Linked DNA regions of Alligator mississippiensis. The protein of the gene in region 4 binds, or shares a complex with, the protein of the main gene of each other region. Links are inferred from orthologs where the notes say so. Each region holds a gene or a part of one and is shown on either strand. Other genes may lie near its edges. The genes, in order: TAF1B, TAF1C, POLR1H and TAF1A.

Region 1 (7,554 bases), about 150 Mb from region 4:
TCTCCTATGACAGCTAACAGTCTGCAACACACACACGTGTGAGCACATGGTATAGATGTGCATAAATACATGAGTATGCACAGTGTATTTATACGTACACACACAAGGTTTGTGTGCGTACACAAACTGTTTATATGTGTGCATACACACACGGTTTATACGTGTAAACAAGGTTCTTTGGGTAGATGTGATATCTTTCATTTGACCAACTAAATAGTTGGAAAATTTGTTCTTTGCAAGCTTTTGGACACAAACACCCTTCTTCAGGCATAGAGAGAGTCTTTTGGGTTATATGTGTACACACACAAACACATGAGGCTTATATACGTACGTACAAACACAGAGTATATGTACACACACGTGCGCATGTTTTATACATGTACTGTTGCCAACCTCGGCCATTTGCAAGGGGCCTAAGCCAAGCTAGAGAAGTACTGCAAAGCAGAAGGCCCCAAAGTCCATTTCTCAGTGATTGTCCTGTGAATCTTTGTAGATGTGAGAACGTCTGCAAATAAAGGAAGCCATTAAGCACAATTAAATAAAGCACAAACCCTGAAAGGAGATAAGGGAAGTCCGTGCATTAAATAGTCCATATACACTGTATCATAGCTTTATCTTAAAAATATTAGTAGTGACCAATGTAACCAAAAGTATTAGATGTTATTATTTTGCAGTAATAGATATATTTTTGTTAAGATGCTTAAATAATTTGTAAAAACAAAAACAGCTTTGTCAGAGAAGACCATAAACTAAGAAGAAACAGGTCAGCATTGAACAATATTCCACAATGGGAAGGAAAGGAGATAAGAAACCCGCCCTCTCTTTCCCAAGTATGTAAATCCTAACTAAACGACACCTTCTAAGTCCACAAGAGATGTGGTTCAGTCCAGTTCCAAAAGTTTCAGTGAAACAATAAATGTTTGTTTTCATGTTTTAGAGTGCAAGCAAATAAAAGGTTGGGCTGTAGACCTGTTCCTGTCTCCTTTATCAGTAGCTTACCCACAACGTTATCTGTTAACTGGGTAACAGTACACATACACACACACGGTTTATACATGCATATATACACACACACAGAGTTTATACATGTAAGCACACACACATACAAAGTGTGTGCACGTCCGCATGTGTGTGAGATCATCATAGGCCATCCCTCTCAGTTGCAAAGCTGTCTTGCGACCCAGTGCATCCACAGGTGGCAGATAGTGGAATGACCTTTAGGGAAGGTTAGCTCTGAAAGAAGCAGGGGTAACTCTGATGAATAAGCAGCTGCAGACCAAGCAGCAGCAGCACCACCAGGATGTGGTGGGGACAGCAGATGGCAATGTTCTCCCTCCTGAAAAGCCACATAAGACCTCTGATGGTGCTGTGACATGGCAAGTACAGGTCACTGCTATAATAAATCTGTCTAGCCCCCAGCCTTGGGTCTACAAGTCCTTAGCAGCAGAGCAGGCAGAAGATGTTAAAATCTCAGTGGCTGCGAGGGCAGATGAAGGCCACAGTGGAACAAGATCTCCAACTGTCTCGGCCTCCCAGCCGTTGGATCAAGGTCTCATTCTGTCAAGAACTCTGTGGAAGCTGATGTGCAGGAGCTTCTCCATAACAAAAGAAATCATGTACAGACATCTTCCATGAAAACGGCGATAGCACATTTTTCAGGCTTTTCAGCAACCTGCTAGCGATGACAGGAGCAGGATTGAGAGGCCTGGAAGCTCCTGGTCATGAACTGGCATGAAGGCAGCAGTTACAAGAAGATTTAAGCACTTGGACGAGGCAGGTGTGTGATTTGGAAGTCCTCGAGGCCAACTTGGAAGAAATGCAACACGGACATCAACTCGTGGGAGACCACTGCCCAGGACCATCCCAAATGGAGGAAGAGTCTGCTGCAAGTCTCTGTACTTTGAAACCTCACAACGACAACAGATGGAAAAGCGGGAGTGGCAGAAACAGCGTATGGTGGACTGAACCAAGAATCCAGAGCCACCCACTCCGCATGGAAACACGTGCCTGAGTTGCAATACACACATGCATGCACATGGTTTATGTGTGTACAGACACACACACACACAAGGCATGAGTGTATATATAATGATATGATATTATATACATATGCACACATGGAGTATATATAGCACAGGTATGTATGATGTATGTATATGTTTGTATATATGTGTTTATAAATGCACACAGAAACTATTTGTATACACCAACCAATGTGTGCATGTGTGTACGCATATGTAGATGCATATAGATACACACACACTCATGTGTGCAGTGTGTACACAGCACAAGTATATCTACACATATATATATTTAGATGTGTGTATGTGTATTACTTGTTCTACACACACAATTTGTGTGTATAGACACACACACAGTATATATGGATAGACTGACCAATGTGTATGTGTATACAGATACATACACACACTTGCGTGTGCAGTGTGTGTATAGCACAAGTATATATACACGTATAGTATATATTCAGATGTGTGTATGTGTATTACTTGCGCTACACACACACGATTAATATGTGTATAAACTGACCAATGTGTGCATCAGTGTGGGCATGTACCTGATACATGTGTTCCTGTCTCGAAACACACACAGTGTGTGTGTATAGCACAAGTATACACATATATATAGTATATACTGATGCGTGTATGTGCATTACTTGTGCTGCACACGTGCACAGTTATATTGATGTGTGTATGTGTATTACTTGTGCTGCACACACCCAGGGTGTGTGTGTATAGACGGGCTCACGTGCGCATGTGCAGAGAGGCACACACAAGCAGGCCCTAGCACAAGGCTGTCCCGGCCGGTCCCTTCCCGCAGCCGAGCCCGGCGCCCCCTCCCCTCCCCTCCCCTCCCGCTCCCCGCGCTCGGGCCCGAGCTCGGGCCCGGGCCCGGCGGCGCGCCCGCCCTCACCGTGTCCTCCTCGTCCATGGCCGCGGCGCCCCCGGCCGAGCTGCGCAGCTGCAGCGCGGCCCGCCCCGCGCCGGCCCCGAGCACTCGGGTTCCGGCCGCCGCGCGCGAGAGCAAAGCAGCGCACATCGCAGCACAGCACAGCACAGCAGCGCCGAGCGGCGCCTGGGCCCTGGGCAACAGAGTCGTTTTCAAGCGAGGGTTGAATCCTCCAGGGTTTAGAAATCAACCCCCACGAGACCGACCACTGAGAGTCACCCGGGAGATAAATGCTCAGGCATTCATGGAAATAAGTAGTGAATGTTGCATTTGATTTAGATAGTAGGCCGCTGGATTTTTAACATGCATTTGCCTTCATTAATGTCATTGCCTCATAAACCTCCGGGAGCAGATTCACAGAGAGCTGGCAATCCTACTTCAACCCTTATCTAGATGCTGCCCCAAACACCACGCCCGAGTGATGCACAGGCAGCTGGGTGGCCATTCCTCCGGTTTTGTATAGGACAGTCTGTTTTTCTGGTCCTCTATTGATATGAAACCCGATGCCTTTATGTCCTCTATTTTTCACTGCTTAGCACCATCCCCAGCCCACCACTGACACCACCGTGGCCACCTGTGAGAGCTCCCTGCTCGGCCTGCTCCCGACACTGCCACAGCTGCTTGCAGGAGCTCCCCACGCATCGCCCAACACGTCTCCACTGCCAACACGTCTCCACTGCCAACACCACCTATGGGAGCTCACCGTGCCCTCAGCCTTGGGAGGCACGCAAGGTTCATGGTGGTGGGGACATGGTGGGGGGGACTGGGGGGGGTTCATGGTGATGGCGGGGGGGGGGGGGGGGTTGTCCTCTGCTCTTGAGGTGCCTCAATGGCCATCCTATCCTTACCAGGGTGGATCTAGGATTTTGAAGGGTGGGGGGAGGGTGAAGGTGCATGGTTAGTCACATAGAATATGACAGGAAAGCTTCTTTGGGGAGATGTGATAACTTTTATTGGTTGGAAAAAAGTTCTTTTGATGCTTTCAGGCACAAGTATCTTTCTTCACTCAGGCATAGGGAGTCCCTGCTGTCCTGAGATCTGCAAGGAATGAAAGAAACTAAAAATGTGCCAGGATGTCAGTGAGAATGTAAATAGGTGGAAATTAAGGAAACAATGGGAAGTCAGGGGGAAATAATGCCAAAAGTAAATAAGGGAGACTCTACTCAAGGTAGAAAAGAGGCAGTCTGTGAAATAGCTGGAAATTAGGAAGACAAAGGGTAGAAAAGGAGGGGAGGGGAGGAAAAGGGAAAAAGAAAAGTGTAAATGTTAAGGTCTGGAGGTATCTGGTGAATCAGATGTCGGACAGGTTGTTAATGTGTGTCCATGACTTTTTGTATCCAGTAGGTTTGTGAAGTTTGTTCATGACACACATTTTTCTCCAGTTAAAAGAGACTAGAAACTTTCTTAACAGGCTTGGGACCTAAGCACTGTATTATTCAGTTCAAGATCAAAGTAAAAGCAAACATAACTTTATCAGCATGTGCCTGAATTTGCTAGATTATACATTAAGTTTAAAAGACAGCAGACACTAGGCCAAAAACAAAGATCCAGATAGTCAAAACAGATTGTTTCATTAGTCTGGAAGTTATTATAGTTAGACGTACATAGCATGCAGACTTGTAACAAAATCTAGTTTTCTTGAGTGTCTTGAGAGTGCTTCCAGTACTTCACCATCAGTCCTGAGTTAATATATCTCAGTTAAGGTTTTTAGGTAGAGCTAAAAAACAGTTTGCAGGGCAATGAGATAGAAGAGAGACTTTATCTGGAGCAAAATTCAGAAGAAAGGATACTTTGGATAGCAGAACATCAAGACCATTAAAAAGGAGAGTGGGTCCTTAACACCTATGGAATTAAGTGACATTAACAGGAATCAGATCATAGTGAGCCATGAAGTCAATTGACTCAGTGCTGCCTGAACAGAAATGCCATTGCCCCTCCTAAGCAGTTGGCTTTAAAGCTTGGGTAGAGCAGAAATCAAAGGGGAGAAAGTACAAATGTACCTCCCTTAATCCACCCTTGATTCTTACCAACAGCAAGGCCCAATGCATGAGCAAACCCATGTCCCAAATGCATCAGAAGTTGCAAGACATCACATAATAGAGAATTACAATAACTAACTGTAAAGGGGGAATTTCTTCCTACCCTCTCTTTGTGGTGGCCTTTGTTGCTAAGATCTTGGCCTTGAAACCTTGTGGGAGTAAGTCCCAACTTTTTATCAGTGTCAAATTTGTTGCTCTTGAAACGTCATGGGCTCAGTTTTATATCAGACCCTACAACAGGGCCTGCCTCTGAAACATTCTGTGCATCCTATATCCCTTAGCAGACATGGTCAATGCCTTAAAGAGCTTGCAAATTAATTTTAGACAAAATCCCAGTGACTTTTGCCATTGCTGTGTCCTGTCTAACCCTCACTGCCGGCTGACTGCAGCACTTCTTTGCCAGGGTGGCCTCCAGCCCCCAGGGGGAAAGGCAGGAATAAGACAAATTTGTGGGCAACCACCTGATTACCAAGTCCAGCTCAGGCAGCTGGTTCCTCCACCAGGTAGCTTTACTCCTCCCCTAACTTTGGGGACTGAGGTAGAGAGAAATCAGTGTTAGTAGTGCAGGGATCCCAGCCTGCAGAAGAGAGCAGCAGCAATTCCCAGAGAAGGTAGGTTGGGGGTGAGGAGAGTGGGAGGGAGGGAGAAATTCCTGGCAACAAGATTGACAGCTGCCCCTGGAGATCAAGAGTGGAGAAAAGGAGGGAGAGATGTGGGGTGTTTGAGAGAGAAGTTTATGAGGATAAGACTATAAGAAGAGAAATGGAAATTGGGCTTTGAGGGGTAAGTCCTGTGACCCCAGGAGAGCTAGACTTCCCAATAGCTGAGGGTGAAGGGAAGGAGGAAGAGATCTGGGCAAGAGCTGTGTCCTGTGGGAAATAAACTCCTGTTTGCATTTCATTTTTCCAGGAAGAGTCCTCACAGCTGTAGAGGAACCTCACCTTTAATGTTTTCCTTGGTGCCTCTCCATTTTCTTTACCAGGCTACCTCCGGAAGCATGGGAGTGGGAGAAGCAGGACAGGAATGACAGGTGTGAGATGATGAAGACAGGCTACCACATATACAAGGTGAGCAACAGTGCTTTTTTGTTGTTTGTATATAAAATAAATGTCAGGAGGCCTTGAGCTACCCCCCTGGACCTGCCACTGATTCATCTTGTGGTACAGTAAAATGTGGACAGTAATATTTACCTCAAAATTATGGGACTTAATTGGCAAAAAAAATCACTGAGGCTAAGAATTTAACAGGATTTAAAGAAGTTGGGCATTTTTGTGATGAAAAAATCCAGTTACATCAGTTAGGTTTAAAAAAAAGTGTTTGGAGGAGTTATAAGCCCTCTTGCTTCAGGTCGCAAGCTAAGTGATGGGACTCTGGACAGGTTATCCCAGAAATGTCCACTGCAGGGTTTTCTTACAGCTGCCACTAAAGCATCTGCTAGTGTCCTCTTTTGGTGATAGGGCACCAGTTCAATCCAACATGGCAGTTTCTGCAGCATAGGGGTATTGTAAGCATTCATGAATTACTCACTGTGCAGTCCTTTGAACATTTACACCAACACTTAAATGCTAAATGTATATTTTAATTGCAAGTTTTGAACTTGGAGGCAGAGGAGACTTGGTGTTATGGCGACAGGAGGGGTGTTCTGTGTGTAATGTGCGACAGGCCCTGCCTGGCTTACCTTGGCACTGCAGCCCAGGTGGCCAGGCCATGAACAGAGCAGCCAAGGGGAAGGAAGGACATGTGTGGATGCCAGGAATGAAGCTGGATGCACTCCTCACCCCCGGAAGCAACCCAACGCTTCCCCTGCTGGCCAGTGAGCCTGGGGAAGTGGAGCGTGCATGCTTCGGCCAGGAGGTAACTGGGAAAAACCCAGGTGCAGCTCCCACAGCCAGTTGTGAGCTGGTTATACTCTCTGGGACTGGATGACCCCAACAGACCCAGAGGAGCCCATCAGCCCACAGAGGATTGAGGCCCAGAGGCAACACCAAGCCTCTCAGTCCCCCTTATGGACAGCCTAACACTCTGACAAACTCACTCACTGTCACAGCGGAGGGACCACATGAGGAATTAAAGGAGAGGTGGGGATGGGAAAGTGCAACCCAGTGGGGACCCAAAAAGGGTGAGCCCTGGAGGGATGGCCCATGAACCTCATGCACCCCCACAGTGCGGCCATGCTTCTGAATGACGCCAACAGGGGACAGCCATGACATTCAGCCCTGAAAGGCCTGGCAGGGAATGCCCTGGGGTCCTGGTACATGTGGCCAACTAGCCAATTGGGAAGGACGAGGAGGGGAAAGGCCAAGTAGCCCGAAGGGGATGAAAAGTCCAGGGGGTGGCCCTCAACCCTCTGCACTCAAGATTGAGCAGCTCAGTGTGGGGGCAGTGGTTCCCTGCCCAATGCTCAGATTGAGCTCCTTTAAGATAAATTCTTCTTGTGTTGCCATGTTTTGGGGAAAGGAACAGAACTGCGGCATGGCACCTTTTCTTTGTCAAGCCATCACATGAAAAACAGAACCTGCAATGACATCAAGGCAGTGCCAGGAACTAC
Region 2 (6,840 bases), on a different chromosome or scaffold from region 4:
CACAGCTGGGGAGAGCAGGCTGCCAGGGGTCTAGGAGCCAGGGGCTCAGGGAAGCAGGGGCAGCAAGATGGGGGCTGCCCCTACCCCCTGGCCCAAGCCAGGCGGGCAGCTGTCCCTGGGGATGGGCAGGGACCATCACTCACCCGCAGCCGTGCCTCCCCCAGATGGAAATTCTCCTGCAGTAGCTGGCCCATGGCCCCAAACGCGTCCTCAGGGTGGTCCAGGAAGAAGTGTGCCAGCTGCAGGGAGGGGCACAGGGTCAGGGGGCCCAAGCAGGGTCTGGCTAGCACACGGGAGTCCGGGGCAACCCAAGCAGGCAGCTGGGCACATGTAGTGTCTTCGTGGCCTCAGCCCCAGCTGAAGCCCCCTGCCCCCTCCTCCCAAACCTCGTTGCAGGGAGACACTGCGCAGAGCCTGGTGGGCAGAGCATGGCCATCCTGGATCCCCACGTGGGTGCGTGGGTCTGCTTGGATCCTCTGACACCCTCTCCTGCCCAGGGCAGCCCTGCTCCCCTTCCACCCCAGCGCCTTTCCCCAAGGAGGGCAGTGAGCTCAGTGGCCCTCTGCCCAGCCAGGCCTGGGGCTTTTGGGCTGGGCCCACAGGAGCGCTGAGACTTGCTGCTTTCCCAAAGACCCCCCTGCCAGGGCATGGGCCATGTGGTGGGCTACCGGAGGTGCTGGGTACAGCAGCCAGCCTGCAAGGACTCACCTGCCTGGTGAAGTCAAGGGCAGCTTCAGTCCTGCCTGCCTGGAGCTTCCTCCGAACCCGCCCCGGATAGAGGATGTCATGGGGGGTCACGGCCAGGACCCTGAAGCCTGCAGGTCAGAAGTGGGGGGGGAGAGAGAAGGACACGGACAGAGGACACGACAGGGGACGGGACACCAGGCCAGGCTGTCAGTGCAGTGCAAGCCCCCGGGCACAGGGAGGGGAGGGAGCCATGTAGCGCTGCTCAAGGAACCTCCAGCAATTGTGGGCAGAGGGATGGGCACGTGCACCCCCCAGGCCCTGGCAGTACCCGGGGATGGACTGCCCAGGGGAGCCCACAGGTCAGGAGCTAGTTCCTGCTGCTGGAGGGGATGAAGGCCAGGAGGACCCTGCCAGTCAGGGCCTTGTGCTCTGGCAATCTCTGGCTCTGCTGGCCTGGGGGTCGAGGCAGGATCTGAGCTCTCACCAGCGTTAGGAGGCAGAAGTGGCACCGCAACGGCATCAGCAGGTTCCCAGTTCTCGCCTTTCTCGCTGCGAAGCGGCACGAACCCCTGTAAGGGCAGGACAGATGGATCAGCACAGCTCCCTGCCCACTGCAGGGGGCACCTCTACCCTGGTCCCCAGCTGTCCCCAGCCCATCACGCTGCCCGGGGCTGCAGCTCCACTCCCCAACTGGGTCAGGGCCCTCCACTGGGCCTGCACTCCCTCCCCACTTAAGGTTAACGCTAACGGTCCAAGGGGCTGCCCCTCGGGAGGAATCATCACAAGCACAGTGACAAACTGGGTGACTCCTGGCTGGACGGCAGTGCCAAGGAGGATTGTGGGGGGGAACTCGATAGATCAGACTCGATATGAGCCTGCAGCATGGTGCAGCTGCACAAAAGAGCACTGTGATTTGGGCTGTCACGCGTATTAGGTGCAAGACACAGGAGGTGATGGTGCTTCTCTGCTCGGCCCTGGTCAGGCCTCCTCTGGATAACGGCTGCAGTGCTGGGCTCCACATTTTAAAAGGGAAGTGGAGAAGTGAGAGAGGGGCAGAAGCAATGCTCAAGGGCTTGGAAGGCAAGTCCTAAGAGAGGCAGAAGGAGCTGGGCATGTTCAGCTTGCATAAAAGCTGCTTCAGAGGGGACACGAGAGCAGCCTGCAAACACCTGAAGAGCTGCCTCGCAGGAGAGGGAAAGCAGCTTCTCTCTTGGCTTGAAATTGCAGCAAAGTAAATTTAGACTGGATCTCAGAGAAAACTTCTTCCTAGTCGGAGCGGGGGAACAGGTGCCCAGGGAGGCTGCGGCTGCTCCAGCACTGGAGGTGCCCTCGCAGGGGTTGGGCAGCCACTGGTCGCGAGCGAGCTGGGAACAGCAATGCCCACAGCGCTGGGGGGCACAAGAGCCAACGGGGCCGCCACACGAGTTGCTGGGACACCGTGGGCCGAGGGCTGCAGCCCAGGGCAGGGGGCGCGCACTCCCTGCGGGGCTGTGCTCAGCAGGAGAACGAAGCGACGCTCACAGCCAGACAGGAGAGGAAGGGACACTGGAGGAGCTGGCGGGCAAGCTTTTTTGGGTAATGTGTTATCTTTTATTACATCAACTGAGTAGCTAGGAAAACGAGCTCTCTGCAAGCTTTCGGGCACAAGCACGCGTCTTTGGGCACAGGGAGTCGCTGCTGTTGGGAGACCTCCAAGGAAGGAAAGAAGCTGAACGTGTGACAGGAGGTCAGTGAGAAGGTACACGGGCAGAAGCGAGGAAACCACAGGGGAAGAAGGAAGAGGAGGGGGACAATGGCAAAGGCGAGAACCCTGCAGTGCAGAGCGGCTGGGACACGCAAGAGCAGAAGGGACAAGAGGAAGGGGTCGCGAGCCGGGCGGGGCCCAGGGTGCAGGGCAGAGCAGGGATGCGGCCGCCCCGGGCTCCGCCGGAGGCCAGGCTGCCGGGAAGGGAACTGCCCTCCTGCCGGTCCCGCGTCGGGGCTTCCCTGCCACCGGGGCGCTGCGTGCAGGTGGGGGCGGCCCTGCCCCCGCCCCGCTGGGCAGGAAAGATTTCCTCCGGTCGGACTGGTCTGCACTGGCGCGCCCGGGCCCGGGCCCGGGCCGGGCCGGGGTTTGCGGGGCCTCCCCCGGGGCAGGCTCGGGGCTGGCGGGGCCGGACGGACACTCACCTGCCGCGGCTCCGCGCCAGCCCCCAGCACCGGTCCGCGCCCGCCCCAGCCGAGCAGCGCGGGGCAGGGCGGCTCGCGGCTGGGGGGCCCGGCGCGGTGCGGCCCCGGGAACAGCGGCGCCGGGAACTGCATCGCGCCACGTGCGCCCGCCCCGCCGCTACAATGTAGCCCCCGAGCGGCCGCCGACCAATCAACGCCCGCCGCCCATAGAGCGCCCGGCCAGAGCGCCGCGCCGCGCGGAAGGGGCTCGGAAGTGCGGCGCGGCAGCGCCCCCTGGCGGACGGCAGCGTCGGAGCCGGCGTGCGCTTTAGCTCCCAGGGGGCCGGGCCGGGCTGCCCTCTCGGGGGGGGGAGGGGCGTGGGGCGGCTGTGGGTGTCTCCCACGGGGGGGGTGTGGGGCGGCTGCGGGTGCCCCCTCGGGGAGGGCGGCTGCGGGTGTCTCCCGCGGGGGGGGGCGTGGGGTGGCTGCGGGTGCCCCCTCGGGGGGGGCTGCGAGTGCCCCCGCGGGGGGGGTGTGGGGCGGCTGCGGGTGCATCCCGGGGGGCGTGGGGTGGCTGCGGGTGCCTCCCGCAGGGGGGCATGGGGCGGCTGCGGGTGCCCCCTCGGGGGAGGGGGCATGGGGTGGCTGGGGGTGCTTCCCGGGGCGTGGGGTGGCTGGGGGTGCCCCCCCGGGGGGGGGTGCAGGGCCAGTTGGGGGTGCCTCCCCAGGGGGCTGGGGGGCAGCTGGGGGTGCCCCCCCAGCGGCTGTGGTGCCCCCCTACATCCCAGGGCAGGGCAAGCTGCTCCAGGTCCCTCATCCAGACAAGAGCCCCTGGGGGGGCAGTGGTTGGTGCCCTGCACGGCAGGAAGTGGGCCCTGGCCCTCCCCCACGCAGGACGGCCTGTACCCTGGAGCTGGGCCAGGGTGCTGGGGTGTGGAAAGGCTCCGGGAAGCTGAGGAGGAGTTTCAGGTCAAGAACAGTATTGGAGCCAAGAACACATGGGGAAAACCTGCGAGGGGCACAGACAGGCCCAGGGCCCCTGCACCCCGTGCCTCCCGCCCCCGGCGCACGCGGCAGCAGGGTGCAGCCAAGCCAGGAGCTCCCCTTGCCCGGGAGCGACCACTGCCCTCCCCGCACCCTCGCAGCTTGTGGTGGGGCTCAGTGAAGGCCTGGTGCTCCCGCTTCCTCCAGCTGTGACGAATGCTGCCGGCAACGTGTTCAGGTTCTAGGACAAGCCACTACGGACATCTGCGGATCCTATCACAGATGTCACCCAAACCCTGCACTTCTTGCACGGTTCCCAAACCTGCCTGACAATGGCTTTCCATGCCTGCGGTTTGGCCTGGCCTTCGGCTGTGGCTTCACCTGCTGCTTCCCCAAGCCCAAGGAAGGCCACGTGCCCAAAAGCTCGTCCCACGCAAGCTCTCCCTCACCACAAAGCCTGTCTGGGCGATGCTTGTGGTCTGGCACAGGCATTAGCACACGTGCTCCTTGCTTCCACCCTGGATGGCGTCCACAGCGGGGGTCTAGAGCTCTGAAGAGGGGTGCAGGGGCCTGGTGCATCAACGTAGCACACCGTTTTCTCCCAGTAAAGAGAAGCAATGGGTGCTGACGTGCTGGGGCCCAGGGCTACCTTACCAAGCTTAAGATCAAAGCAAAACAAAATGCAGTGTTAGTGGCACATAGGGGAGCGGGCTGGATTGTATGTTACATTTAGGAAGTGCGGCCAGCTGGGCAAAGATAACATTGTGTTGTGATTGTTCCAGTCAGAGCAGTGACATGCACTCCCCTTCCTGATCCTTAATACAAAAGCCCCAGGCATGTGTTACTGAGCTTGACTCTGGCCAGGGATATCTCACACCTGGCAACAGGCCCTTTTTCCTTTCCCTTTCCAACCTGGCAACTGTTTCTGACAAACAAGTTACCAGCCAAGCACAGTCATACAGAAAGTGACAGCAACCAGGAGTGACCCCTCCATGGACTTCCAGTAAGAGGAACAGCCTACATCCAGAGGCCTGGAAGGGCCAGCAGGGTCCTGTAACCCCACTTCCCAGTCCCCCCAATTGTGCCAGGAGCTGTCCCAGCTGCAGGGCTCCAGTCCCTGCATGCAACAGTTGTGGGCCAGTCAGACCTGGGTGCTGTGCTGCAGCTGGCAGCATTGTCCTTCTCTGTTGCTCCCCCAGATCCTCCTCGGGGACCCTCCCCAGGGCAGCACTCCTTCCCCAGTGCTCAGCAGCACTTAGCATCATCCTTCTCTGTCACTCCCTCAAATCCTCAGGGCACCCTCCCTGGGGCCACACTCCTTCTCCAACTCTCAGCAGCAGAGACTGCCCCAGTCCAGCTGTGGGTGCAGGGACACGGCTCCCCCCAGCCCCTGTGGGCCCAGGAGTTCCCTGCCTCCAGCACTCTCACCTGGAGGCTCCTCTCAGGCAGGAGTCACCCAGGCACCAAATAAACCTTGTTGAATGTGAAGTGTCCCAGGCGCATGGGTCACTTCTGGATGATGCCGTGGGGTGTCGCTGGCTGTGGCGCAGGCAGGCACATGGTGCTGGGCTGGGTGCAGGGGAGCCGGTGGGAGCGAGGCCTGCAGCACCTGGTGGAGCAGGACTGATGGGGTCTCGTGTCTGTAGCCATAGACACAAGGGGCATGGCCCCAGCTCATTCTCGGTCCCCTTCCTGGAGGCCTCCTGGCGCACAGCCTGGGGGCTGCATCCACATCTGCACACGTGCCAGCGCTCCCTGCAGCAGGGCGCTCAGCGCCAGGGAGCATCCAGCATCTCTCCCAGCTGCAGCCCAGCTAAGAGGCATCAAACAAACCAGGGCAGGTTCGGCCCTCGCCTCCCTGGCTGGGCCAACACGGAGCAGCCCAAAGCCCAGCCCAGGCCCTGCCCACACTTAGCTCTGCCCCTCGTGCACCCTCTCCCAGAGCAGCCTCCACACCCGTGAGCCTGCCCCCTCTACCACCTTGCTCTCCCTCAGCTGCCCCACCACAGACACCTTTGCCCAGGGCCCATCCCTACTCACAGATGCCACCCTCAGACTACGATCAGCCCACCCAGAGAAGACCCTGCCCCCAGACCCCCATGCACAGGCCTCCAAGCCTCACAGCACAGGTGGTCCAGCAGCACAGCTGAAAGCTGCTTCAGCCCAAGACCCCCAGGGAAAGGACCCTCCCCGGGCCGACAGTGCCCATGGGGCCTCTGCCCCCAGCTCCGTGCTCAGCTGCCCACTCTGCTGTTCCAAGGTGCTCCTGTCCCTGTCCCTGTCCCTGGCCTTGCTGTGGGGGCAACAGGTTCTGCCCCAGGGCTTCCTGAATTGTTCTTCCTAAGTGACCACCAGATACACATGGTCTTTGCCTTATGGGCTAATTGCATGGCTATGTTCGTCCACTGCACCATGCCCCGTGCCTCGCCAGGGGCATCCTCATGGCTGTTCTCTTTCAGTTAACCCCCTTCTGGGGCGTTCACCGAGAGCCCAGAGAGTGACAGCCCTGAGGGCTTCTCCCACAGTGCTCAGTGACATGTCCCTTTCCTTACACACCAGGCCAGGCAGTGCACTGCTGGGCGGCCTCTGCCACGGCCCGGACATGGTGGATCCTTGCACCGCCTTGTGAGACCTGCTTCCCATGACACAGCCTTTCCCATCTGGGGCTCATAGAGGCAATCCTCATCATTTCCCCACAAGCATTTTCCGCAGGCATCAGAGCAGTCCCAGTCTGTCCCCGAAGGGCTTCCCGCAGAGGCCTTGCTTGTGGTGACAGCGGGAGCAAAGATGGCTCCTCCTCTCCGCATGGCCCCTCATCCAGCCAATGAGCGACAGGCAGGAGCAGTTCTGGTCCTAGGACCTGCTTGTGAGAGAGGGGCTGGCAGAGCTGCTGGGCAGAGGGGCCGTCTGCGGCAGGCTGCTGCAACCAGTGTGGGGCAGGACAGGCCCTTCCTGCCAGCACTGAAGGCTGGAGTCAGGTGGCAAAGGCCCACGGTGGCATGGGAGTGTGGGGCGGCTGGA
Region 3 (7,277 bases), on a different chromosome or scaffold from region 4:
ACCCCCTTTGTTAGCTTCAATTTATTGATAGATAAAATATGTGAGGTCTCGTCTACGTGGTGCATTTTCTCCATGGTGCAGAAACAGATTATTAGGGTGGCACTTGTAAGTGCATCAGTAAGTTCTGCCCCTCAGTGCAGCACTGTCCTGTGCTGAGCAGATAAACCCTTTGGCTATGCCCAGATGAAAGCGGCTGTGTGGTAGGTGGCACTGCAGACATCTGCATGCCACATACGGCACGTTTAATTGTTCTCCGCACTGCAAGGGAGCAGTGTGGAGGGTTTTTTTGACCATGAGTCAAAAAAATCTGCGGAGCAAAAAGGTAGAGCAGTGCACGCAGGGGTAGTGCACTTCGCTTAGAAGTGGAGATGGGCTGCCCGGAGCCACGCTGCAGCTGCCGGCCAGAATCACTGTTCCTGCAGTCCTCGGAGGCCCCCAGGAAAGACTGCTGGGGACAGCCCAATGCAGGCCCCAGCCTCCCCTACCACCCCTAGGTAACTCGCGACACAACACAGGCATTCCTTGGGGACAACTAGCAGTGGTGCAAGGCGTGCTGCTGCTGCTAGTTGTGCCCCTGCTAGTTGTTCCTGGGGAGACAAACGTCCACATCATGCATGGACGCAGCCTTTGAGGCCCATCTTGTCCTTGATAGGTTGGTCCTTGGTTGCTCTGAAGGCAAAATTTTTAGGACTGGTGCAAATCTCCCCACAGAGGCTTAAAGAATCTGCAGGTGGGGTGGCAAACTGGTCTCTTGATTATTCACTGTAGCTGAGAAAGTACATAGGAAGCAGTGATCCCGCCAGTCTGCAGAGACGCTGTGCCAGTCAGCTCAGATGTCGCATTCAGATACGAACTGCCTCCCTTCATCTTGGTGGGTTCAATCTCAGATGCCAATGACAGATCATTCTATGGTAATTATGTCCACCATTCCCAAAGCATGGAAGAAAGAGGAGGAGGAGGAAGAGGAGGAGAAGGACTGTGCCATGAACCCACTATTTCCCAGTGGGGAAAAGCAGGGAATGCAAACCTCTGGCTGGAATGGGGAGGAAGGGAGCAGAAGGCTAAATTAAGGTGTCTCCACTGTGGGCTTGCTTTGGACCATTTGCCTCATTCCAAATTCAACTTTCAAAAGGGTAAGAAATGCTGTCTTCTAGGTCGGCATTTCTCAACCCATGGGTCGTGACCCAAAAGTGGGTCACATGAATATATGAAAGGGTTGTAAACAAACTTTTAAAATGGATTCTCCTTTGAAGGAGCAAAACGTGGGGAACTATGGCTTTTCCCTTGCAAGCTGGCAGAGTTCCAGCCTGCAAGAGGCTGCCTGGGGCCCCCCCGTGCCCCACACCCACTCACTCCGTGCCCCACACACTGGGGGACTGGGCATCAATGTTTAAAAATGGGTCCTGGTACAAAAAAGGTTGAGAACGCAAGTTCTAGGTGACCAGTGATGTTCACTGGTCACCAAAAAACCTTCAAAGAGAGAATAAATATCTTGCTGTTTACACAATGAGAAGATATTATTAAATTTGGCCTCGAAATTCTTTCACTGAAATGTCACAGGGCTCCTATACAGACATGTGGAGCCTGCTCCAATGCACTGGAAAGCCAGCGTGTCAGAGCAGACTTAGTTCACTGAGTCTGCTGGAACACAAAAATCGACGTGCTCCAGCAGCCTCCCGTGCCACGTGCATCAGCATCGCTATGTCTCCATGCTGAAAAAATGGTGGCTGAGTGGTCTGAATAAAAGCACGTTTGATAAGCTGTCATTAAAAGCGCCCTGCCATTTTTTCAGAGTAGCGATGCATGGTGATGTTGATACATGCAATGCACAGACACTTTTAATTAGCATGGCTTGCTAATTAAAGCACCCAGCATTGCATCCCACAACGTGTGTAAAAATGCCCACGGTTTCTGGTGAAAATCTGAATCTCAGCTTTGACTGATGAAACAACTAAAATCCAGGCTGCTCCAGGACAAAGCTGCTACTCCACGGACTGCAACTTTCCTTTCCTCTTCCCTTCCCCCACCTCCCATAAAAGACACCCACGAATGGCTCCTTACTTGCACTCAGCACAGGTGTAAAACACAGTCTGCCCTTCGTCTGCCGACCTCATTTGCCGGGTGTGATACACCATGCCCTCGTGGCCACACTGGGGGCACTTCCGGTCGATCTGAAATCCCAAGGAATCAATTGTCAGCTTTCCCGACTAGAGAAGAAGTAGTATTTCCTCTCTACTCGGTGCTGGCGAGCCCCCAGCTGGAGCCCTGGGCCCCGTTCTGGGCACCGCGCGTCAAACAGGACGCGGAGAATCTTGACCGGGCGCAGAGAGGGGCCACGGGAACCACGACGGGCCTGGGGCGCCGGGGCGGTAAGACTCGCTCTTTTGAGGTCCCTTCTGGCTCTTAATTTCTGGGATTTCCTGCCTGAGGGAGGCCAATAAGTGAGGTGGTAGGTCTCAACTCACACCCCTCCTGGTGCCATCAATCTGAAAGGGTCACCAGAGCCGAGGCAGGCTCCCAGGGTTACGGGGCAGACGTCACCGGCGCGCTGAGGCCCCTCCGCACGGGGCGATAACCTGCGGGACTCCCCGCCGCAGGACGCTGCCGCACCGCCCGCCCGCAGAGACCCCCACTCACCACGGGGCCCTTCACCTCCTGCCCATCGCCCCCCGCCGGCACAGCCGTGGCCCCGGGCCTGTGAAACTCCACGGATGACTGCACCAGGCGGCCTTCAAAGTCTGCAGGGGGGAAAGGTCATTAAACAACTGTGGGGTGGGAGGGGGAGGGGGACACGACACAGGTTGGGGGAAGGGGCCGAGCAGCCCCGGGCCCGGCCCACCTCGCACGGCGATGGCGAAGTCGCAGCACACGCAGGTGACGCGGTCCTGCACGCCGGGCAGGGGCAGCACCGTGCCGCACTCCGGGCAGAAGTCCGGGCCCGCGCGGAAGGCGGACGGCGCCGGCTCCATGGCGCACGCGCGCCGCCGCCGCGCTCGGAGCAGGCAACTCCCGGTCCGCCAGAGCACTAGAGCTGCAAAGGAAGCGCGCGCGACAGAGCGTCTCCATCCAGAGCAGCGGCTTTCCTTTCCCTTCCTTTCCGGTCCAGCTCTAGTGTCCTCCTCCACTTTCCCCTCCCCTCCAGTTCCGGCTCATCTCGCTCCGCGGTGCGCTGCTCACCCTCTCGGTGTGCGCTGGAGTCTCCAGGGATTAGCTAGTTAATTAATTAGCTCATTAGTCACCCCGTGGGGCATGGCCTCCAAGTGGGTCGCAAGAGTCTATTATTATATCTATTTATAACATCTACTATTCTATTATATCTATTTATTATATCTATTATTTTATATATGAATAAGTGACACTTTCACAATGGAGTCTCCTTTAAAGGAGAAAAACAAGGGAAGCCGGGGCTTTCCCCTGGCAGGCGGGCACAGCTCCAGGCTGGGGGGGGGGGCGGTGCTTGCAGCCACCTGCCCCACCGCACAGACTGGGGGCTGGGGCCTGGGGCCGCGGGGAGGGAGGGACAGGGGCCATTGAAGTTGATGTTTACAAACAGGTCCTGGTACAACAAAGGTTGAGAACCACAGGTCCAGGAGCCGGCTGAGAGCCCCCGAGGAGATAAATGCTATGGGGCAGTTTGTGAAGTCATTTCCCCAAGGGAAAAGGCGGGAAATACTATCACGTGGGGCACTTAAATTTAGGAAGGGGCAAGGACGGGGAAAGAAAACCTTAGAAGCAAATATGCTGCACTGAATCAAGAGTTGACCTTGCACCATAGAGCCAAGAGAAAGGAATAAATAATAAATGTTGAATCTGATATATGCAGTAGTCCAGTGGGTTTTTAAAATGTAAGAGGAAAGTGCATTTGCCTTCCTGACCATGAACGATGTGCCCTGCGGAGGCTGGGGGGCACGGCAAGCTCCTGCAGGTGGTAGCGGCGGCGCTGTTGGCGGCAGGAGGGTGGCAGAGGCGGGTGTGCAGCTCCCGCAGGCAGCCGCAGCGTTGTCAGCAGCAGGGAGCAGGAGACGCCGACCAGTGTTCAACCACCCGCAGACACCGTCGGCAGCAGCCAGCAGCGATTGCAGACCTCCCATAGATGCCGCTGGTTGTCAGCAGCGAGGGTGGGGGGATGGCGAGCAGCGACCAACAGCAGGCTTTTCACAGGGGGTGCACTGCCACGCTCAGGGGATGCACGTGCACCCGTGTGCACGCCCTACGCATTGCTGATGTTTCTGGCGTAAAGTCTATGCGCTGTAATCCATAACTGATCAACGCAAACGCACAGGCATGTTTGCATTGTGTGTCGCAGGCACACTGGTGTTCCAGAAACCTGAATTGATTCAAACACAGTTGGCAGCCCTGCATGTTGGCACATGGTGACCAGCTGTCAGCCGCCATGGTCTGGGTCTAGGGCAGTGGTTTTCAACCTGAGGTCTGCAAATGCCTTGGGGGCGGCAGACTGTCTAAGGCAGGAGTGTCCAACCTTTTTGAATGTGGGGCCGGATCATGAACATTTTATCATCCAGTGGGCCAGTGAGCCATATTCAAAGACCTCACAGGAAGTGACATCACATCAGGAAGTGATGTCACGTGACCTTTGACACCAATGAAGTTGCAGGAATTAACAATGAAATGGGTGTGCTCCGCATGGGAACTTACCCCGTGCCTCCGTCCGCCCTGGCCTGGCCCCGAGGCGCCCCCAGTTCCACGCGGGAACTTACCCCGTGCCTCCGTCCGCCCCAGCCCGGCCCCGAGGCGCCCCCAGTTCCATGCAGGAACTTACTCTGTTCCTCCGTCCACCCCAGCCTGGCCCTGAGGCGCCTCCAGCTCTGCGCAGGAACTTACCTCGTGCCTCCTTCCGCCATGCATGCGGGCAGGGTGTGGACCATGCTGCAGCTCCCCAGGCCACATGCCGGGGGCAAGGGGCGGAGCCCACCCCCAGCTCATCCAATCAGGCGCGGCTGGGGCAGCCCCACTCCGTGCAGCCCTCGGGGCAGCTGCAGCAGGACCCGGCTCACTGATGAGCTGGGCCCTGCGGGGGTAAGCAGCTCCCCTCCCCTCACTGCCGGCTGGGGCCTGCGGGCCGGCCCTGCCCTGCCCTGCCCTTCCCGCCTCGCTGCTGCCCCGACGCGGCGGCTCTGTGCTTCGCCGCCGCCGCAGCTCTGCGCTCCACCACTGCGGCTCTGCGCTCCGTGGCAGCAGTGGTGGCAGTGCTGCCGCCGCTGCGGGCCAGATAAAATGGCTTGGCGGGCCGCATGGTGACCCGCAGGCCGTATGTTGGACGAGCCTGGTCTAAGGGGTACACAAAAAATGACTGATCAATCAACCACATGTGAATACACACATGTACAGGTCAAAGTGGTTCACATGTCCGTTCAAAATATTTTAGGCATCTGCAAATGAAAAAAAGGTTGAAAACCACTGGCCTAGGAGCCCATGAAGGTGTGTGTGCAAGGCTTAGTCTACACCAGACCAGTCCTGTGAGCTGGATGTCTCTGGGTACAGCTCTGCTGAGGGACGGGGACCCCTGATGCCAGAGCACCTCTTGCTGAAGGGATGTGATGCCACAAACAGCAAAATAAGCCCTTCTGCTGCCATGTGTCTCCACTAATGTCTCTGACACCTTGGAGATGCTGAGCCAGCTGTGGCAGCACCTGGCCTGTGATGTAGGGGATCTCTCTGTCCTCGTACCTTTCTTATTGAACAAGTATCTAGATTCTAGAGTCTCTGTAGCTGTTTTGAATGGCAGCGTGTGAAACAGCACCCTGTGACTCTTCATTTCCAAATGAGGCAGTTGACGTTTCTGCAAGGGAGGGATACTGGAAACAGGCAGAATTGATTTTACCCATCCAGTTTTTGTCAACTGAAAATCTGTCACATGGTTTGCTTCCTTGCTACATGTCACCTTCACTATTACTGTCACCTGAGAAGTAGGTGATTAATCCTGTGCCTGATTGAGAAGCCCTGACAGGAGGGTGAGGTGCTAGACCTACTCGCCTGTCACTCTGATCCAGGGTGAGTATCTCTCAATCGCAGACCCCCTTATATGAGCCCAGGACTGCACTTGGCATCACCTGGAATGACTTCAGGGTCCATCAAATAAAGTGATCCAACCTCTGCTTGTGGCAAAGGAGATCCAGGGCCAAGAGCCCTCTGCAAAGTCAGGCCATCACATCAGGGCCCCTTGTTGGACAGTCCTTGTTGCAGCATGCTGGGCTCTAGTGTAGTTCTTCTCCCAACTGGGGGATGCAGTGGTGGGGGACTCTGAGTTTTATTGGGATTGCTTATTATTTGTGACAAGCCCCCCTGCAGATCTGACGGGCCAAAAATAATTTTTCTGTCTGTGGCGGGGAACACATGGGGGAGCCAAAATGGGGAGATAGTGGCATCTCTTCCTACAGAGAAAAATAGCCAATGTTATGGTCAGATACATTTGCTTCATGGATTGGCTGGCCAATAATAAGGAGCCTATCTTGGGGTCAGGGACCCAGAGGCCTAAAGGCTGAGTGAGTTAAGTCAAGGCTGAGAGGGTGAGGCCACAGGTAATGAAAGCAGCCTGGCCTGTGGTCAGGGACCCAGAGAGCTAAGGGCTGAATGAGTCGGCCAAGGCTGAGAGGGCCAAGACCAGAGGGAGAGCAGTGCAGCTTGGGTTTGGGGACTCAAAGGGCTGATGGGTGGCCCAGAGTGTGAGAGTTGGCAGGGGCCCAGGGCCCAGAGTGCACAAGGTAGGGGCCCAGGGCACTAGACCTGGACTGAAAGGTGCATCCAGAATAAACGGGGCAAGGCCGGGAAGGCTGAGTCTTTGACAAAAGTCTGGGGCCCGAAGGCCAAAAGTTGGGTTGGGGATAGGGGGCCCTTCCAAACGAACATCAAGTAACATCTGTGAGGCATAGGAGTGGCTACAGGGGAGGAAGGAGGCCATGAATATAGCTGATAAGGCAGTTGGTGCCCTGAGGCACTGATAGGGTGGCCATCAGAGAGGACATTCCAGTTTTCTGCTACTCTGTCCTCTATTGATATGAAACCCAATGCCTTTATGTCCTCTATTTTTCTTTTCAAGAGAAAAACAGAGGACATAAAAGCATCTGGTTTTGTATCAATACAGGACTGAAGACAACCGGACTGTCCTTTATGATGGCCACCCTAGGCACTGATAGGGTCAGAGGGCCATAATGTAGTGCTCAGGGGTGCAAGACTGGGGCCAGCCAGATACAAGAGGTACCAGCTGGCTCAGTTGGGGACTCTTGGGTATCTCCCTTAATTTCATAATAGTTCTGTCA
Region 4 (7,360 bases):
GGCTGTTAATCCCCAGTCTGGACAATGCCTGCAGACACTGGAGAGGCACCTCCTCTCTGCTGCCACAGGGAACAGTGCCAGTGCTGGTTGGGTCCTAGTAGCCACTCATCCACCTGCCTGCCTCTGACTCCAACTGGGCCAATCCAGACCAAAGCCTTAAAAGGCTGCTGCTACATTAGACAACTCCCCTGCTCCCAAGCTGCTCCACATTACCTGAATAAAACCCCTTAACTGCTAGCAACTACAGGGTCTAGTTTTGTGTGGTCTGCTACCCGATACTTGTGCAACAGAACTGTGGTTGCTTATATGCAGGGTGCAGTTTTGTGCCCCCTCTGCCAGGGACATGCATGAGTTGTACTGAACTGCTAAACTTTGTTCTATATCTCTACTGTTTTATATGCTAGAGGTTTGTTTTCCAAATGTATTGGTTGGTATGGATACCTAGAGAGTAATCAAAAGAGCACACACCAACTGCTGAAGCTTCCTTAGCCTGACGAAGGGTTTTTGAACCCGAAAGCTTGCTTAATAACTATTCTCCAACCATTTGGATTGGTCTAATAAAAGATATCAAATTCACCCAAGGAACCTTGTCTGCCTATGTCCTTAGACCAACACAGCTACAACCTAAACCCCAAAACCTCTCTAATGCACACATGTTCTTGTAAAGCTTTGAGGTTTCTTTTTAACAAATAAGACATAAGTATGGATCATGAACTACTTCAAATGCCCTTTTAAATTATTTCCATCAACAGCAAGTGAATTCTGGTAACAGCCTCTTTTTATCTTACCTCTGGAGCAGTTTTCCGTTTACTCACTGTACTTGTTTCCAATATCTCCAAGTAGCTAATCATGAACTCTGCAGCCCTCTGCCACTGGTTCTGCAACAGGGCATCTTGAATGTAGTTTAAACAAGCTTCCTTTGTTTTCTGAAATTCTGTTTCCTTTGGACCCCTAGTTACTAAAAAAAAAAAAATAGGATTAACAAATAAGAGAGGGTAACAATGTAACTATCACTTTACTACCTTTAGCTTTGTCCAGGGCAAACTCTGCCAAAGGAGATGAAAAAGACAGAAACCATGCTTCAAAATGCAACTTCAAATATTTCCTAAAACACAGTGGATTTCTCCTCTGAGCCCATCTCCTCTCTTATTTAAGGTCTACATTGCAAGATATTGTACTATGATCACCTAGAAACCTCAACCAAGAGAACTTCTTTCAGCTAAGTATAACTGTGTTAAGAAGCAGTGCTCACCTAAAGAACTGAAAATGCAAGTAGCTGGTACAAACAAATTAAAAACTCTTATTTAAGCAGATTGTAAACTGAAGCAGAGATGGGGAGAATTTGTTCCTATACTATGACTAAGCTCGAAGAAAACTTGCAGCTTCCCTACGCAAGGGCTCCAAGAGGCTGGTTAGGCCCCTGCCCAAACTGAATCGTTGTTGCTGCAGCCCATATAGAACCTGTGGCAGTTAAAGTCTGAATGGTGTGCCTCCTGAATGCACCAATGTTTTCTGATGAGGAAGCGCAAAACTGATAGACCCACGTAGTAGAGTTTGTTCCTCCTCCTACACTATGAGCACTACATATGAAACTATTAAAGGACCACGGCTAAACAGGACAGATTTCCCACATGAACTGCATAACCACAGTGTATTGTGGTCTATAGTTGTATTCAAAGACTGTGTTTTCATCTGCTTTGAAATAACAGACCAGCCTCATGTGCCAGAGCCAACACATCCCCCAGACCAGCTCTGTGCAGTGTACACCAACTTCATGGGTGACTGGTGCCTCCCGATACTAGGGAGGCACCAGCAGCCGACTGCTGACTAGGGGAGGAGGGGGTCCCCAGCATGTGCTAGCGCCAGCTCTATCAAGTTCCTAGGTCTTGAACCAGCCCCATGTTCATGTGTGGAGCCAGTCTGGTGCGCAGGGCCAGTCCGAGATGAGCGCTGAATGCAGTACGCATGTTGGACCAGCCCAGTGTTTTGGATCCAGAGCAGCAGAGGTGCCACATGCAATGCATGCCAGACCAGCTCCATGCACGCAGCAATGTCCAGACAACGTGTGCTGCACACAGAGCTGACCCGAGCAGAGCTGACTGGGGCAAATCTGCCCATGCAGGGCTGCGCCCCCACTCTGATTCCCCTGGACCTGAAAAAGCATGGGGGGGGGGGGGGGAGGTGTGCTAGTGAGTGCCTGGACATCGCCTCTGCAAAAAAAACCTGGGCTGCCCATCATGATGCCCTAATAAAATCCCTAGGTTATGATCCCCCGCTCCCTTCCCCAGATTATGATTTTCAAATTTTACAGGGGGCTCTTGCCTGTTATGGGGAGGGGGGGGGGGGTCTCAGCCCCCCAAGCTCCCTTGTAATTCAAACCCTGGTGCACACACCTGCGGGTCCACACACGTGCAGGTCCATGTGTATATATACCTGTACATGTGTGTGCAGGCATGTGCCAAATCAAGGAGCACCATGAGGCAGGGCTGGTTTGTACCTTTGGGCCCAACCCATTCAGTACCACTTACCTGGGTGATGGAGCAAGCACGGGAGCAGGGGCAGGTGGATGCTCGGGGCCAGGCTGCCCCACTCCTCCCTCGGGGCCGGCTGCTCCACGAAGCCGTCCATGCCCTCGGCAGCGGGGAGGAGGAGAATGAACCAGTCCCGCACCCCGCCCGGCCGGAAGTGGCGCGGTCCCACAGGACGCGACTGGCCCACTAGAAGCGGGAGACCATGTTTGTTCCTGGCGAGAGACCTCAAAGTACCTATCATGTGACCCACGCCCTTATTTACCAACTACGTCTTTAAATTAATCCGGGCACCGACATCAAGTGGCTTTACCGTTATCAAGAGCAAAGTCAGTTAGCTCTGAAAAAAAGGAAGCAAAGCTTTCTTCAGCAGTGCCTCGGAGCCACCTTCAGAATGACCTTCGACCTCGCCAGAGGGATAGTGCAGCCGGGGAAGAGACGCGAGGTGCTCATGCACTGTTTTCTCAGAAGTCGGCATCTAGCGTTGTGGCAGGGGCGTGTCGTGGAGCCAATCCGGTCATGTGACCGGACCCTGGTCTCGCTGCTTGTTCCCTGCGAGAGCTGAGGTGACTCTCAGTGCGCAGGCGCGGGTTTCCGGTCATACCATCCTCCCACCCCTGGAACCCGATCCTGCGCCCCCAGCTGCAGCTATGGGTCGGCTTGTGCCGCGGGCTCCAAGGCCGAGGCTCGGTCTGATCTGGTCTGCACACCGAGGAGATAGCAATTATTATTATTATTATTATTGATATAATAATAATATAATTATTGTAGCATGCTTATAATTCATATTATATTAATATAACAAGTACTATTGTATATAATAATATATACCATTACTGTTATTGTCGTTCTAATCGTCATTATTATTGTGGTTGTTATTCATATGAATTATATTGATATTAATGTGATTGATATTAATATTATTCTTATTAGCCATAATAAGGAAATAAATCGTATTAGTCAATAGTAAGTGATCATATGCTTAATAGTAATATACTTGTGGTCCTAATTATTATAGCAATAATGATTAGTATTATAGCAATAATAATAATGCTATTAACATCACAGTGATGGTTCCTAAATACTGCTCATCAATAATATAAAGACCAGTGAAATGTCGAGTAGTCAACATACAGCAGCAGCTTGGAGCTGAATAGCTAAGAGCACAGTACAGGGGAAGTAAGTCCCCCACTGTGAAAATACATGCATGCTTATAGACTTTGGACCTATGTAGGGTTGCCAACCCTCTAGGAGTGCCCTGGAGTCTCCAGGGATTAGATATAAATCTCCAGGAGGCTACTGGAAGCCCCCCAGGAGATAAATGACAGGGCATTCATTAAAATAAATATTAAATGTTGAATCCGATTTACATGGTAGTCCAGTTTTTAAAATGTAATAGTAATTTGCATTTGCCTTCCTGACATGAAGTCTATGTAACTGATACATGGAAGCAGGTAGGCACATCCGTGTTGTGTTGCCAGCATGTTGGCATTCCGGAAACCTCTTGGAATAGATTCAGAGTTGGCAACCCTACACCTGTGAATAGTGCTGCCAGCTACTTTGGAGGCATGTGTTGAGTAAATGCATAAGTATTTACAAAATCAGGGCCATAGATGCATGGCAGACATGCAGCTTGATCCAGTAAAAGCTGTCACCTATAACAATTCTTGCCTCTTACTTCTCTCACCTGTTTCTACTTCTCTCACTAGGTCTTGTCTTACCTGCTTTTTTCCTGGTCCTCTCTACCTGACTTGCATAGGTCAGAATTACTTTTGAAAGAAGAGAATAAAATTGACTAAGGGTACTTGCAAAATGATGTGTGAATATGTTTGGAGGCCACAGGTCAGGAGTGTAGGAATCTAAAGGAATGGTATAGCAGGAAGATTTTTTTTTAAAGCTGTCTTGTAGTTTTTGAGTAAAAAAAGCAATTTTTACAAAGGTAGCTTTGACCCTTGAAGGATCCATGTTTTTTTGTTTTGTTTTGTTTTTTAGAATGTGATAATAGATTGAAAAGGCAGTAACTTGTTCTGTTACTGCAATACACAGCAGAGGGGACTAGCCAAAGAGCATCAACATCTCTGCGATACACTTGCTCGTGTTTGGAATGGAGCTGAATGGAGGAGAGGCAAGGAAAGAAGTGGATTGAAATGAGAGGCAGTTTTGGTGGTCTTGTCTAGGACTGAAATGGTGAGGGTCTGGGTGTGGGAGGAGTTGGGTGGGGTTTGTGCATGAGGTGTGGAAATGATAGATGGTTTCTGGATCTGTGTGAGGAGTAGAACAAGGATGTTGTACACTGAGAGGGCCACTGTGCAAATATGAATAGTCAAGGAGGAGCAGCAGGAAGATGGTCTGCGGACACATGTAAGGAACAGAATAGGGACTCACCTGTTATCCCCTTTGACCTGAGTCATTAGCCAACATTCAGGGTACAGTAGGTGGTTTCCATAATAGGAAATTTTGGTTGGAAGGGACCTCGGGAAGTCATCTACTCCAGCCCCTAGTCCTCAAAGCAGGACCGTCCCCAGTTAGATCGTTCCAGCCAGGGCTTTGTTAAGCCAGAGCTGAAAAACCTCCAAGGATGGAGATTCCACAACCTCTCTAGGTCATTTGTTCAAGTGCTTCACCACCCTCCCAGCGACAGAGTTTTTCCTGATATCAAACCCAAATTTCCCATGCTGCAACTTGAGACCATTGCTCCTTGTTCTGTCATCTGCCAACAGAACAGTCTAGCTTCATCCTCTTTGGAACCACCCCTGAGGTAGTAAAAGGCTGCTATCAAATCCCCCCTCAGTCTTCTCTTTTGAAGACTAAATAAATCTAGTTCCCTCAACCTCTCCTCAGAAGTCATGTGCCCCAGCCCCCAAACCACTTTCATTGTTATCTGCTGGACGCTCTCCAACTTGTCCACATCCTTTCTATAGTGGGGGGCTGAAAACAACATGGTATTTCAGATGTGACCTCACCAGTGCTGACTAGAGGAAAAGAATCGCTTCCCTCGATCTGCTGGCAATGCTTTTACTAATGCAGCCCAGTACAGGTTTCCCTCGCTTTATGCTATACGTACGTTCCTGGAAAAGGGTGCATAACTCAAATTTGCATAAAATGAACCCACTTTACAATATAATAAATAAGGATACTTTCCAAGACCTCAATTATACTGACCTCCAGACCCATTTCTACTACTTTTACAAGACAATTTTGGTACTCGCCAACAGCAGACAGTATATACAACCACAGGGTGATAGTGAATGTTACCATAATGAGGATGGCAACTACAGAAACACAGGGTGCAGACAATGAGCAAGGAGCATAGATATTTTGGTGCATGTCACTCCCACAACACACTGCACAAAGCAGCTGACTGTGGGCTTCCACCACACCGATCGCATAAGAGTGAATTTACCTTGCGTATAACAAATTTTGGTATAAAAAGGATCATCACGTAAGAGCGAATTTGCACATACAGAACCAACATAAAGCGAGGGAAACCTGTATGCTGTTAGCCTTCTGGGCAACAAGGGCACGCTGCTGACTCATAGTTAGTGTCCACTATAGTTCGTGTCCACTATAACCCCTGGTCCTTTTCTGCAAAGCTGCTGCTTAGCCACTGTCCCCAGGCTGTAGCAGTGCATGGGATTCTTCTGTCCTAAGTGCAGGACTTTGTACTTGTCCTTATTTTGAACCTCATGAGATTAATTTTGGCTCAATCCTCCAATTTCTCTAGGTCCGTGGTTCCCAACTTTTGTTTGCCATGACCCGCAGCTGTAGTGGAGTGCAGTGGCGGCAGCAGCCCAAGGGCAGGGTGATGGAGCTCCCAGCACATGACATGGCTTGTCCTTTGTGTGCAGCGCTGCCGGCATTGGCCCCACAACCCTCATTTGGGTCGTGGCCCAAGGTTGGGAACCGCTGGTCTAGGTCACCCTGAATCCTAGCCCTACCCTCCAATTTATCTACTACACCCCCCCAGCTTGGTGTCATCTGCAAACTTGCTGAGGGTGCAATCCATCCCATCTTTCAGATTGTTGATGAAGATATCAAACAAACTTAGCGCCAGGGAGTTAGGGCACTCCACTTGATACTAAGCCATTGATTACTACTCGTTGAACCCGACAATCCAGCTAGCTTTCTATCCACCTTACAGTCCATTCAACCCATACTTCCTCAGCTTGCTTTCAAGAATGCTGTGGGAGACAGTATCAAAAGCCTTGCTAAAGTCAAGATATATTACATCCCCAGCTTTCTCTGCATCCACAGAACCAATTATCTCATCACAGAAGGCAATCGGGTTGGTCTGACTTGCCTTTGGTGAATCTGTGCTTTCTGTTCCTAATCACCTTCTTCTTCAAGTGCTTAGACATGGATTCTTTGAGGACCTGCTCCATGATTTTCCCAGGGCCTGAGGTGAGGATGACTGGTCTGTAGTTCCCTGGATCCTCCTTCTTCCCTTTCTTAAAGATGGGCAGTATATTTGCCCTTTTCCAATTGTCTGGGACCTCCCCCACTCGTCACGAGTTTTCAAAGATAATGGCCAGTGTCTCTGCAATCACATCGGCCAGCTCCCTCAGCACCCGCGGATGCATTGCATCCAGCCCTATAGACTTGTACACGTCCAGCTTTGCTAAACAGCCCCTAGCTTGTTCTTTCACCATTGAGGGCTGCTCACCTTCTGTCCAAACTGTGCTGCCTGGTGCAGTAGTCTGGGAGCTGACCTGGCCTGTGAAGACCAAGGTAAAAAGGCACTGAGTACTTCAGCCTTTTCCTCATCTGTCCCTAGGTTGCCTCCCCCATTCACTAAGGGACCCACACTTTCCCTGACCTTCCTCTTGTTGCTA

The links.
Region 1: TAF1A (region 4) and TAF1B share a complex: the UniProt entries of both Homo sapiens proteins name them as parts of the transcription factor SL1/TIF-IB complex. The link is inferred for Alligator mississippiensis from reciprocal best matches to the Homo sapiens genes TAF1A and TAF1B.
Region 2: TAF1A (region 4) and TAF1C share a complex: the UniProt entries of both Homo sapiens proteins name them as parts of the transcription factor SL1/TIF-IB complex. The link is inferred for Alligator mississippiensis from reciprocal best matches to the Homo sapiens genes TAF1A and TAF1C.
Region 3: TAF1A (region 4) and POLR1H share a complex: the UniProt entries of both Homo sapiens proteins name them as parts of the pol I pre-initiation complex. The link is inferred for Alligator mississippiensis from reciprocal best matches to the Homo sapiens genes TAF1A and POLR1H.

Annotation. Positions count from the first base shown.
Region 1 is NC_081824.1:30,788,702-30,796,255, forward strand, and holds the start of TAF1B (TATA box-binding protein-associated factor RNA polymerase I subunit B), read right to left. Parts: upstream 3,007-7,554; 5' UTR 2,950-3,006; coding exon 2,932-2,949; intron 1-2,931. UniProt on the Homo sapiens protein: Component of RNA polymerase I core factor complex that acts as a GTF2B/TFIIB-like factor and plays a key role in multiple steps during transcription initiation such as pre-initiation complex (PIC) assembly and postpolymerase recruitment events in polymerase I (Pol I) transcription.
Region 2 is NC_081826.1:303,255,598-303,262,437, forward strand, and holds the start of TAF1C (TATA box-binding protein-associated factor RNA polymerase I subunit C), read right to left. Parts: upstream 3,004-6,840; 5' UTR 2,989-3,003; coding exon 2,857-2,988; intron 1,257-2,856; coding exon 1,172-1,256; intron 816-1,171; coding exon 709-815; intron 240-708; coding exon 144-239; intron 124-143; exon of another isoform or gene 1-123. UniProt on the Homo sapiens protein: Component of the transcription factor SL1/TIF-IB complex, which is involved in the assembly of the PIC (pre-initiation complex) during RNA polymerase I-dependent transcription.
Region 3 is NC_081834.1:54,008,900-54,016,176, forward strand, and holds the start of POLR1H (DNA-directed RNA polymerase I subunit RPA12), read right to left. Parts: upstream 3,013-7,277; 5' UTR 2,970-3,012; coding exon 2,840-2,969; intron 2,739-2,839; coding exon 2,638-2,738; intron 2,172-2,637; coding exon 2,062-2,171; intron 1-2,061. UniProt on the Homo sapiens protein: Core component of RNA polymerase I (Pol I), a DNA-dependent RNA polymerase which synthesizes ribosomal RNA precursors using the four ribonucleoside triphosphates as substrates. Can mediate Pol I proofreading of the nascent RNA transcript.
Region 4 is NC_081824.1:182,344,719-182,352,078, reverse strand, and holds the start of TAF1A (TATA box-binding protein-associated factor RNA polymerase I subunit A), read right to left. Parts: upstream 3,019-7,360; 5' UTR 2,773-3,018; coding exon 2,529-2,772; intron 959-2,528; coding exon 789-958; intron 1-788. UniProt on the Homo sapiens protein: Component of the transcription factor SL1/TIF-IB complex, which is involved in the assembly of the PIC (pre-initiation complex) during RNA polymerase I-dependent transcription.